3 linked regions of the Schizosaccharomyces pombe genome follow. Each later gene encodes a partner of the first gene's protein in a complex. Each region holds a gene or a part of one and is shown in the gene's direction. Other genes may lie near its edges. The genes, in order: mis16, mis19 and hhf2.

Region 1 (3,754 bases):
CTGATGACCTGTTTGTTCTCAGTTTTGTGATTATTTACGCTTATGCACACCGAAAATTTCATCTTTGAATACTTTGAAGTGTTTGTATTTTTTACTGTCATTAACAAAACCGCATTTGAAGTAGCAGGTTAATAATAATGACTGTTAAGACTGCGGTTCATAAAATTTAATTATTTTGCTTATTGTTTTTTTCAATTTCTTCTGTGCCCCGATTAATTAAGGTGTATCCGACAACCAAGGTTTGGATGCTCGATTATGTAGGCAACACAAAAATTTACATGATATGGATAGATCTTTCATAGAAATACCTCTAAATTTTGATGAATTTACTTTAGCAAGAAAAAAAAAGAATGCAATGTTAAAAACTGTTACAATAATTATAAATATACAATGGGTACCAGAAGTCGCTATGAAAACATCTGAAGTAATAAGATTACGATCAACAACTCAAAACGTGCAAATATACTCCAATTATACTAAATTCCTCTCTTATAATTGATATACTGATATTAATTGCCTCCTCAAAATACTTAGCAAACGCAAGCATTATTCCAAAAAAAAGTCGAGACGAATAACGAGCTAGACCACTGTTGGCATGCATTTTAAGGCAATGCGGTATACAAATTCCTCAGTATATCAAAATAAATAACATTAGAAAGAAAGTACTCATCTGGGAATTTTTTTTTTTTAATTCACAACTATATTTAATAAATATTTTAAATTAAAATCAGTAAATTGCTATGATGAGGTTAAAAGAAATAAGAGACACGATTTGAATTGTACTGTTATCGAATAATTTATCAAGTTAGCATGTTAAAGTTTCCACGACAAGTACCCAAAAGTCTGACTACGTGCTATTAAAGCTAGCTAATCATATAAATTAAAATCAGCCAAAACTCATAGTCATTTCACAAGTTTCTCTTTTCAGCCATTGTTTACATATGAAATTTTACTTAGTCTCCAGAACATCGTTTCTAATACCCTAACCTAAGGTAAAAACCGTCACAACAAATTTACTATATATAGGGTCTGTTCAGTTGATGATTCACCATCATCAGTAGGTTTTAACTTACTTTGTTATATAAGTAAAGTAAAATCAATCCTGAAGTCAAGTATGATGGTTGGAGTCTCCGGACCAAGAAAATGCATCCGTTCCGTCTTCAGCGAAGAATTGAGTGGCTTTCCCGGTCGTTGACTTTTTTCCATGGGTCAAGGATGGGATTGTCTCCCAGACATTTTTAATTAAAAAAAGTTTATATTTGATTAGTTTAGATACGTACCCAAAGTTTGCAATACTACATGATTTGTTTAATAAATTTACGGTGTACTGTAAAACAATTCGTAGAGCCAACAGTATAAATATCCCATTGATGGCTGGGTTCAATAGTTTTATTTTTAGTGTAAATATAATGACAATCTGTTTATCAAAGTATACTGAGATTATAATATTTGTTTTTGCCAAATGGTTTTATAATTATTAGAGCATGATAAAGACGATGTTTGAGGAATTCTTCTCACTATGAATGTCTGTTTTCATGGAGACGTGGCATCAAGTAATGGTTTTTAGAGGCATGTTCAAATTTGTTTTCGCTCATTGAAACTTGTTTTCTATATCGCTGTTCATGAATTTTATTTTATTTTTTTTTTATTTCAGACTTAAGAGTGCGCTAGATTTATTTGGGCATCTTTAAATAATGTAAATTACTTATAACTCCAAAACTTTTAACTTGGCAATCTAGTTTGGGCCATTGTGTAGTTGCCCAAAACATGTCAGAGGAAGTAGTCCAGGATGCACCTCTCGAGAATAATGAACTCAATGCCGAGATAGACTTACAAAAAACAATACAAGAAGGTATGATTAAAGGGAATTCTTCATTAATATATATTATTATGCCGTAATTACTGACGATTATACTCGTTTCAGAATACAAACTTTGGAAACAAAATGTTCCCTTTCTGTATGACTTGGTAATAACCCACGCTTTGGAATGGCCTTCTTTGACAATTCAATGGCTTCCTGACAAAAAAACGTACGTTGCTTGCCAAAGTAGTTAGGCTATGATTATACTGGCCTTTACTTCAAACCATCTCATCAGTTTTCTAACTCGATTCTTGAAGAATACCAGGTACTGATTACTCTATTCAACGTCTTATTCTTGGCACTCACACATCTGGTAATGATCAAAATTATTTACAGATTGCTTCTGTGCAATTACCAAACTTTGATGAGGATACCACCGAGTTTACTCCTTCTACGATTCGAAGAGCACAGGCCACGGGCTCGTATACGATTGAAATTTCACAAAAAATCCCTCACGATGGCGATGTCAATCGTGCTCGTTACATGCCTCAAAAGCCTGAAATCATCGCTACCATGGGAGAAGGAGGAAATGCTTATATTTTTGATACAACTTGTCATGATGCCTTAACTACAGGTGAAGCACTTCCTCAAGCAGTTTTGAAGGGCCATACTGCTGAAGGTTTTGGTCTTTGCTGGAACCCGAATTTACCTGGAAATCTAGCAACAGGAGCAGAGGATCAAGTTATCTGTTTATGGGATGTTCAGACACAATCTTTTACTTCCTCTGAGACAAAAGTCATTTCCCCCATAGCCAAATATCATCGTCATACTGATATTGTTAACGATGTTCAATTTCATCCTCAACATGAGGCATTATTAGCATCGGTGTCGGATGATTGCACTTTGCAAATTCACGATACTCGGTTAAATCCAGAAGAAGAAGCTCCCAAAGTTATTCAGGCTCATTCTAAAGCCATAAATGCCGTTGCCATTAATCCCTTTAATGACTATCTTTTAGCAACAGCCAGTGCTGATAAAACAGTAGCTCTTTGGGACCTCCGTAATCCATATCAACGGTTGCATACCCTGGAAGGACACGAAGATGAGGTATATGGGTTAGAATGGTCACCTCATGATGAACCTATATTGGCATCCAGTTCAACTGATCGCCGTGTTTGTATTTGGGATTTAGAAAAGATTGGAGAGGAACAGACTCCGGAGGATGCCGAGGATGGTTCTCCAGAATTACTATTTATGCATGGAGGCCACACAAATCGCATCTCAGAATTTAGTTGGTGTCCAAACGAGCGTTGGGTGGTTGGAAGTCTTGCCGATGATAATATCCTTCAAATATGGAGCCCTTCTCGTGTCATTTGGGGTCGTGATCATGTTCAGGTTTCTCCTAGGGATCTGGAGTAAAGTTGGCCATAGAAAAAAACCCAAACTCACTTTTCCATCCTTCTACGCTTCATCTGTTTTTTGCAATATTCTTTACAATACAGAGTCATATGGTAATTGACTGCTCTCTTTTTTTCAGCTTTTGTATAATTTAAAACAAATGATCTTCGTCGCCTTGTAAATACATCAAAACTACTGTTATAAATCAGACTACATTTCTATAACACCAGAGATTAAATGTTTTGTTTGACCATGATAAAGTAAAAAGGATAGTAACTATTAATATTATACATAACAGCAAAAAAAATCTATTGAACAACAAAAGGGGGATAATATATCTCAAACTTGTTCATTTTGCAAGTCTGCGAATAGGCGTTTGTATAGTTTCTTCGAAACTTTCGTTCGGCGATTAAGTAAACGATTATTCAGGTGAGATATAAAATTGGTCATAGAAATGAAAATGTAATTTTGACCGCTGGCTGCGAGTAAATAATAAATAACACCAGCGAAGATCAAAAAGTTCTGGAAACTTTTGGACGTAGGCGTAAGTTGGAA
Region 2 (3,298 bases), on another chromosome or scaffold:
ATTCGTAGATATTAGGTCTTTCTATAAAGACGTTTATCGCGTTCCACGCACAAATATTAATGGAATGCTAGAGCATTGGGGTCTTCAGTTTGAGGGAAGCGAGCATCGCGGAATAGATGATGCGAGGAATTTATCACGAATTGTTAAAAAAATGTGTTCGGAAAACGTAGAATTCGAATGCAATAGGTGGTGGATGGAATATGAGAAGAACGGCTGGATTCCGAATCGAAGTTACCCGCCATATTTCGCAAGCTAATGCTTAAAATTTTTATTTCGACTTCATAATCAATATATTTCGTGGAATCTGGTAGAGATAAATTATCGTTAAAATTCATAGATAAAAAAAATTTCCGAAAATTACGTCAAAAGAATGTTTAATCTTCATTAGATGACTCCTCTTGAGGTGCATGGGACCTCGCATGTCCTTCTTTTGCAGAGGTTGGCCATAGGTTGGGAATTGCGATCCTGTGGGAATTAGTTAGTATGAATCAATTCATACTCTCACTTACTGTTGAAACTGAGGAGAAACACAACGATTAGTAAACCATTGTCGAATCCTTGATTCGATCAATTGTGTAATTTTAGGAATGTCTTGAAGCTTTGACCTAGCTCCCACAAGAGAACTTACTTGTAGCGAGATCACGAAATTGGGGTCAAATGACAAGTTCATATATGCAGGCTGGCCTGCACCATTGCTTGGGGAAAAATAAATCATAATCTAGGACAAATGTTAGAAAAGACCGTTATTAAAAGACGAAAAAAAATAGTCTATCGTAGAATACCACTGTGATACGATTTAACACTTGATGTTTCAAACCCCCGGGGGAGGGGTGTAAAGAATCGTAGAGACTATATACTATTAAGGTTGTAAATAGACTTACCTTTCCGACAAATTTACAAATCCTAACTGTAATGGACAATGGTAAGGTTGCAAACGCAGGCTTTGGAAAATTAAGTAAAAGCTTTGTGTCAACGGTGCAATTAATATTGTCAGTCAGAGAAACAAGCATCTCCGCTCGAAGCTGTGAGGAATTATGCTGATGAGGTAGAACCCGACAATGACTGAAAACCGGAAATCCGTCTCCAAGCGATAAATCTCGCACGTAAATATGATCAACCATAGACTTGTCTTGAGCACCTTTGTTGAGAACAGTTTCAAGTTTTCTCAGGGCAACATCGTTGGAACATGCATCATAGCGAAACTGTATGAGAGCTTGTGCTATTAGTACATTAAACCAATCCAATGATTCCGGCTCATGTTCATTAACATCGTAAAGCAGATTGAGTATATGAGGTTCAAGGATAGTAAGAGGCTTTTTGTACCTTTTTTTGTTATTACTTAAAGGAGTTGAAGGAGTCTCGTCAGGTGTTTCATTCCCCGTTTGTTTTGGAGAGTTTGCTACAGACTTTGGAATTGGACTACAAAATAAAAAGAACCGCAAAAACACATAAATAATGGCCAGTGTCAACAATTGTCCAACTATTAGTCCTTGTGTAAAACTCCCCTGCGGCAGGTGTATCATTTTTGTTCATAAATATACTAAAATACCTCGAATTCGCTAATCCCGAGAATCAAAACCGTAAACGGAAAAATTAGTCTTCGCTCTACAAGAAGAGTATAAATTAAACGTCTCAAATACAAGAGTTAACTGCTTAGTAAGTTGAGGCTTTCTGTAATATATATATATATTTTTTTTTTTTCTTTCTTGTAGGTGGTCTACGTAGCATTTGCAATTACAGAGTTCATTGAGCCTATTTGTTTGAGTCCAAAACCGAAATCAACTAATTAAACTAATGGACTTCAATTAAAAAAGATTATTAGTAAATTCATTAAATAACATGATTTGTTTGAGAAAAGCAACTAATTATATCAAATTATTGACTTTAGATATATAAATCCTTTATGATAATATATATTACATTATGAAATTATAAGAGAATATTACTTTCTTGTACTCTTCACATGTGTATGGCATGCTCATACTCAAGGGTAGGAAATACACTAGTACGCGTTTTACTCTTCCAAAAGGAGTATTAGTTAAAGTATCTTTAATAAACGACAATAATTAGTTATTCTTTCTTTCGTATATTAACGGACTACCTAATTTTCGAAAGTTTCTCCGTCTGTGATATTTTATTAAAATGTTAAGCAAATGGATTTAATGCCGTTAGAAAAAGCAAGAGCAATTGAGATTGCATTTGATAATGTGTTTCATAATACAAAAATTCCGGACAATTTGCAGCAATTTGACGCCATATTGAAACGACTGGAAAGACGGAGATTTATACCAACGGAAAATCAGAAACCAAGAGTGTACGAAACAGAGCTACTTGTACTGCGATTTCGCGAATTTGGGGTGAAAGACAACCATAATCATCCAATAAATCTTCATTCTCTTCGGTCAAAAAGCTTAATCAGGGCACAAGGTAAAAAACTTGATTTACATAATCGAGTATTTCTAAGAAGAAATGTTAGAGCAGTAAAAATGTGATTAGTACCTTTTATACGATAATTTTGATGCATTAGTAACTTACCCAATGTGAACTTTACTGAACTTTATACACAACTTACTACAGAAAAGACTCAATCACTACATGTTACGCATATTTTTAAAGCGTTAATTTTCTATCAAAAACAAAACTGTAAGCGTTCATAACTTCTTTTCAACCCAAATTCACGTTTACATGAATTAAAGTCATAATTCAGCAATATTTTCCATTTTAGCAAAAAAAATCGATATGAGTAGCTTTAACAACACGGTGAAAAAATACCAAAAATAATAATTCTATATAAATCAAATCAAAAGCGGTTTTATTTCAGCTTCTCTCTCAAAAGACAAGCTAGAACATAAAACAAAAGAGAGGGGAGTGTATCAAATAATAAATCTTAAAGTGAATTAGTTATCCTTCTTGCTGGCATAAGTGCGATCATCTTTACCCTCAACGGTGTATTGAACTGTCTCCATAAAGCGAATGCGCTGCTCTTGCAATTTCTCATTGCGAAGTTCGGCGTCAAATAATTCTTGGTCTGGTTGACGATATGAACTGCAAAGACGATCAAACAAGGTGAAAAACTGACCATAATTGTAATTAAAGTACATATGGTGAGCAGCGTGATGAGCAGCACCATTTACGACAGCGTTGTTAGAAAAGTATTTGCCGTCGTGGATGAGTACGGTCCAATAATTTACTGATCCAAAAAGCAATAAGTAAACATACTTATTTAAGGGAAAGAAAAAGGGAAACATATGATATGGAAGGGATTGACTGTATCCATCAAGATAATGAAAAGCGTGAG
Region 3 (3,450 bases), on another chromosome or scaffold:
AAATCGCTAAGCAATATCTAATCAAATGGCGTATTTCATTATTGGACATTAAAGAGCTATCGATCCGCGCGGAAAAACTTCATACTACTAACGAAATTATCGGTGTTTGGAATCAATGGGTAGTGTCTTATAATCGAAAGGTTGGAATGCAACAAAATGCTGATTTATTTTTCAAAAGAAAGACTTTGCGAGTTGTATTCGAACATTGGCGATACCTTCGTGAGACTAATATGTTATTACGACTGGAAAACAAAGTTGTTGACTTTCGAGAAGTTCAATCAGAAAAACTTGTGCTGCGATGCTGGAATGCTTGGGTAGCGCGGTTATTGTCGGTTTCTCAAATGCTTGACACAGCAGAGCTCTCAACGCAAAAAGTTGTCGTTAGAGCGTACGAAGCATGGTCTTTTCGTTACAATCACCAAAAGGAGATAATGTCTCAGGCAGACCAATTTTATAATGAACGACTAATGCGTTCTGCCATGGTTTTTTGGCGATATCAATTGCGTGCTATAAAATTTTATTTCAATATTAGTGATTGGAAGCGTCGTGAATTTAATAGACAAACGTTGCGAAATGCGTTTGATGCCTGGCATTTGCTGATGTTCCGAGTTACTAGCTTAGTAATGCAAGCGGATAGGTTCCACGAGCAAAAGAAAAATAAATTATTGGGCAAATATTTCCGAAAATGGTTGCAACGTATGCAACTTAATCAAGAAGAATCATCATTACTAGAGGCAGAAGCTACCATTGAGGGCAATCGCACTTCACGCTATATGCATACATTTGATACCACTTTGCCAATGCAAAATGATGAATTCACTGATGAGTCTGTAAATTTTGAAAATCGCTGGAAGCAGGAACTAAAGACTCCCATATCTCGATTTTCCAAGTTTCTGCGGCCTATACCTCCTAATACCCGTTGACATTTACGATTGACGGAGAGAGTTAGTTCTCTTTTTTTTTATCTAACCATTTGAAATGAGTTGAGAGTATATTGATAAACCTTTAGATATGTATAATATAATAGTCATTGCTTTGAAAAGTTTAATACATAGTCGAAAATTCGTGTAACAGTAGCATCAATAATCCTGCAACACATTACAAGTACGTGTGGAATACTTAAAAAAAAAAAAAAAAAACTTTAAGCAGGAAGTGAACGCTTCACTTGATAATTTTAAAAGGACTTTACCAAATCGTTAGGAGAGTAATGCTCCATAAGATGTTCAAAGCAAGTACTACGACTTACAGTAGCAGGCGGTCAAACAAATTTAAAAAAAAAATTTTTTTCTTACAATGAAAAATTTACAAAAATGAAATACGTATAATAAAAAAAAAACTATTTAAATTAATAAAAACAGATTAACAAAGGAAAAAAAATTAAAAACTACAAAGCTTTAAAACAGTGTTTCAGAATAAGTCAAGTGAGAAAGCAAAAACATAAAAATTAATATGCTAAACCCGACATTAAACCAAGGAAATATACATGACAATGATTGAAAAAATTAGGAAATGCAAAACTTAAACCCAATAAACACAATATACCAAATAAAATATTAGGCAATCAATGCATTTAAGAGCGTTCGCCACGAAGACGACGGGCCAATTGCATATCCTTGGGTTGAATGGTAACACGCTTGCCATGGATAGCGCAAAGATTGGTATCTTCGAAGAGAGAGACAAGATAAGCCTCGACAGCTTCTTGAAGAGCACCAATTGCGGAGGATTGGAAACGCAAGTCAGTCTTAAAATCTTGGGCAATTTCACGGACCAAACGTTGGAAGGGAAGTTTGCGAATCAACAATTCAGTAGACTTTTGGTAACGACGGATTTCACGAAGAGCGACAGTACCAGGACGATAACGATGAGGCTTCTTGACACCGCCAGTAGCGGGAGCGGCCTTACGGGCAGCCTTAGAGGCCAATTGCTTACGGGGTGCCTTACCACCGGTAGATTTACGAGCAGTTTGCTTGGTACGAGCCATAACGTAATTCGGTAAATAAACTTACAAAAAGGTTCTTTCCACGTCGGGTGTGGACACTTCCTGCTATATATACCTCAGTCAATCACAACCCTAACCCTGATTTAAGATTGCGATTTCGGCTTCCCCGCTACCTGAAAAAATGTATATATATATGGAGATGGACGCCTAACTACAGCACTTACACAGTAACTACTACGACTAGTACGAGAAGCCATTGAAATTCAAATCATAGGAATTTCAGTGTTTGCGCTTGAAAATTAGTTTTTGATATTGTAAATTGATCAATTGGTAGTCAGTTTGTTTGAACTTACAGGAATCCCATTACTCATATAAGATGTCTGGTCGTGGAAAAGGTGGTAAAGGATTGGGAAAGGGTGGTGCTAAGCGCCATCGTAAGATCCTTCGTGATAACATTCAAGGTATTACTAAGCCTGCCATTCGTCGTCTTGCTCGTCGTGGCGGTGTTAAGCGTATTTCTGCTTTGGTTTACGAAGAGACTCGTGCCGTTCTCAAGCTTTTCTTGGAAAACGTTATCCGTGATGCAGTTACCTACACTGAACACGCCAAGCGTAAGACTGTCACTTCCTTGGACGTTGTCTACTCTTTGAAGCGTCAAGGCCGTACCATTTATGGTTTCGGTGGTTAAACTGGTTGCACACTTTTCGATATTGAAGTGAATTGTATTTTCTTTTTCTTTTTTTCCTACTTTGCATATTAATAGTTGTTTCTCTTTTTATCTTTACTCATTTCTCTTTTAATATCCATTCAATGAATATTTATTTGCACGAAAATGGTTGGTTTTCCTTGAAGAAATGCAATTTTATTGAAGGGATTTGTTTTTCTTTCATTATGGATTGCACGTCTGAGAAATTTTTACCCAACCTTGTGTCTGACTTACTCTGGGAGTAAGCTCTGTTTTTAGAAATAAATAAATAAATTGTTTTTATCTAACATTTATGGGGGGGAGGACAAGAAAACACACAAATTTAGCCTGTAGTTATCACGTTTCATTAATGTATGTTTGGAAGGTTGGAGTCATATCATAACTATGCTAATATATTGTAGGCTTCAATTTGAGAAAAAATTGGGCACGAACCCATCTATTTATATTATACAAAGAGAACTCTACAAGCTGATTGTAAGGTAAATGTACTGAAAGCAAGCTGTCTTCTTTTCCCAACAGGGAAACTCATCTGTGCGTGAATTTATTACTCACGTATTGTGGCTATAATTTTTGATAAACGATGTGACTGTATTTTAAGGAAAAGCGGATTCTCGAAGCAAATTTTTCAGCTGAGTATCTTAGTGTATCGGTAGGTGAAGCAAAACTGGATGTCTTTGGTACACTGTCGCCAATAGCGATAGACGGGCATTTGGCAAACCGTTTTATCACTCTGTCGGAATTGAGAAGCGTAAAGAGTGAAATTTCGCTTTCATCTCGAAATAGCCCACGTCCTCCTACTAATTTA

What was found.
Region 2: the proteins of mis16 (region 1) and mis19 are in contact, whole or in part, in a crystal structure (PDB 6S29), measured with the Schizosaccharomyces pombe proteins. Residues at the interface, in NP_587881.1 of Schizosaccharomyces pombe: Trp33 (codon at 1,936), Lys34 (codon at 1,939), Val37 (codon at 1,948), Pro38 (codon at 1,951), Tyr41 (codon at 1,960), Asp42 (codon at 1,963), Leu43 (codon at 1,966), Val44 (codon at 1,969), Ile45 (codon at 1,972), Thr46 (codon at 1,975), His47 (codon at 1,978), Pro97 (codon at 2,216), Asn98 (codon at 2,219), Phe99 (codon at 2,222), Asp100 (codon at 2,225), Glu101 (codon at 2,228), Phe106 (codon at 2,243), Arg113 (codon at 2,264), Ala114 (codon at 2,267), Gln115 (codon at 2,270), Ala116 (codon at 2,273), Gly118 (codon at 2,279), Tyr120 (codon at 2,285), Thr121 (codon at 2,288), Ile122 (codon at 2,291), Asn293 (codon at 2,804), Tyr295 (codon at 2,810), Leu296 (codon at 2,813), Asp310 (codon at 2,855), Arg312 (codon at 2,861); in NP_595535.2 of Schizosaccharomyces pombe: Glu56 (codon at 2,319), Thr57 (codon at 2,322), Glu58 (codon at 2,325), Leu59 (codon at 2,328), Leu60 (codon at 2,331), Val61 (codon at 2,334), Leu62 (codon at 2,337), Arg63 (codon at 2,340), Phe64 (codon at 2,343), Arg65 (codon at 2,346), Glu66 (codon at 2,349), Phe67 (codon at 2,352), Gly68 (codon at 2,355), Val69 (codon at 2,358), Asn74 (codon at 2,373), His75 (codon at 2,376), Pro76 (codon at 2,379), Ile77 (codon at 2,382), Leu79 (codon at 2,388), His80 (codon at 2,391), Leu82 (codon at 2,397), Arg83 (codon at 2,400), Lys85 (codon at 2,406), Ser86 (codon at 2,409), Arg89 (codon at 2,418).
Region 3: the proteins of mis16 (region 1) and hhf2 are in contact, whole or in part, in a crystal structure (PDB 6S1R), measured with the Schizosaccharomyces pombe proteins. Residues at the interface, in NP_587881.1 of Schizosaccharomyces pombe: Glu29 (codon at 1,852), Leu32 (codon at 1,933), Trp33 (codon at 1,936), Asn36 (codon at 1,945), Phe39 (codon at 1,954), Leu40 (codon at 1,957), Arg349 (codon at 2,972), Lys357 (codon at 2,996), Gln362 (codon at 3,011), Asp366 (codon at 3,023), Asp369 (codon at 3,032), Gly370 (codon at 3,035), Ser371 (codon at 3,038), Pro372 (codon at 3,041), Leu374 (codon at 3,047), Leu375 (codon at 3,050), Phe376 (codon at 3,053), Met377 (codon at 3,056), Gly379 (codon at 3,062), Val415 (codon at 3,170), Ile416 (codon at 3,173), Arg419 (codon at 3,182); in NP_595566.1 of Schizosaccharomyces pombe: Ile30 (codon at 2,403), Lys32 (codon at 2,409), Ile35 (codon at 2,418), Arg36 (codon at 2,421), Arg37 (codon at 2,424), Leu38 (codon at 2,427), Ala39 (codon at 2,430), Arg40 (codon at 2,433), Arg41 (codon at 2,436), Gly42 (codon at 2,439), Gly43 (codon at 2,442), Val44 (codon at 2,445).

Annotation. Positions count from the first base shown.
Region 1 is NC_003421.2:582,368-586,121, forward strand, and holds mis16 (histone H4 chaperone, CENP-A recruiting complex CENP-A chaperone Mis16), read left to right. Parts: upstream 1-1,758; 5' UTR 1,759-1,767; coding exon 1,768-1,852; intron 1,853-1,924; coding exon 1,925-2,030; intron 2,031-2,102; exon of another isoform or gene 2,103-2,118; coding exon 2,119-3,220; 3' UTR 3,221-3,526; downstream 3,527-3,754. Other genes in the region: SPOM_SPCC1672.11C (P-type ATPase P5 type), read right to left, coding at 3,539-3,754. UniProt on the Schizosaccharomyces pombe protein: Regulatory subunit of the histone acetylase B (HAT-B) complex. The complex acetylates 'Lys-12' of histone H4 which is required for telomeric silencing.
Region 2 is NC_003423.3:1,321,578-1,324,875, forward strand, and holds mis19 (protein Mis19), read left to right. Parts: upstream 1-2,153; coding exon 2,154-2,492; 3' UTR 2,493-2,797; downstream 2,798-3,298. Other genes in the region: double-strand siRNA ribonuclease Eri1, read left to right, coding at 1-256; ERMES complex subunit Mmm1, read right to left, coding at 375-465, 510-718, 882-1,523; C-5 sterol desaturase Erg32, read right to left, coding at 2,898-3,298. UniProt on the Schizosaccharomyces pombe protein: Component of the CENP-A recruiting complex that ensures the integrity of mitotic spindles through maintenance of kinetochore factors mis6/CENP-I and cnp1/CENP-A.
Region 3 is NC_003423.3:1,363,689-1,367,138, reverse strand, and holds hhf2 (histone H4 h4.2), read left to right. Parts: upstream 1-2,154; 5' UTR 2,155-2,315; coding exon 2,316-2,627; 3' UTR 2,628-2,950; downstream 2,951-3,450. Other genes in the region: protein Sfi1, read left to right, coding at 1-923; hht2 (histone H3 h3.2), read right to left, coding at 1,571-1,981.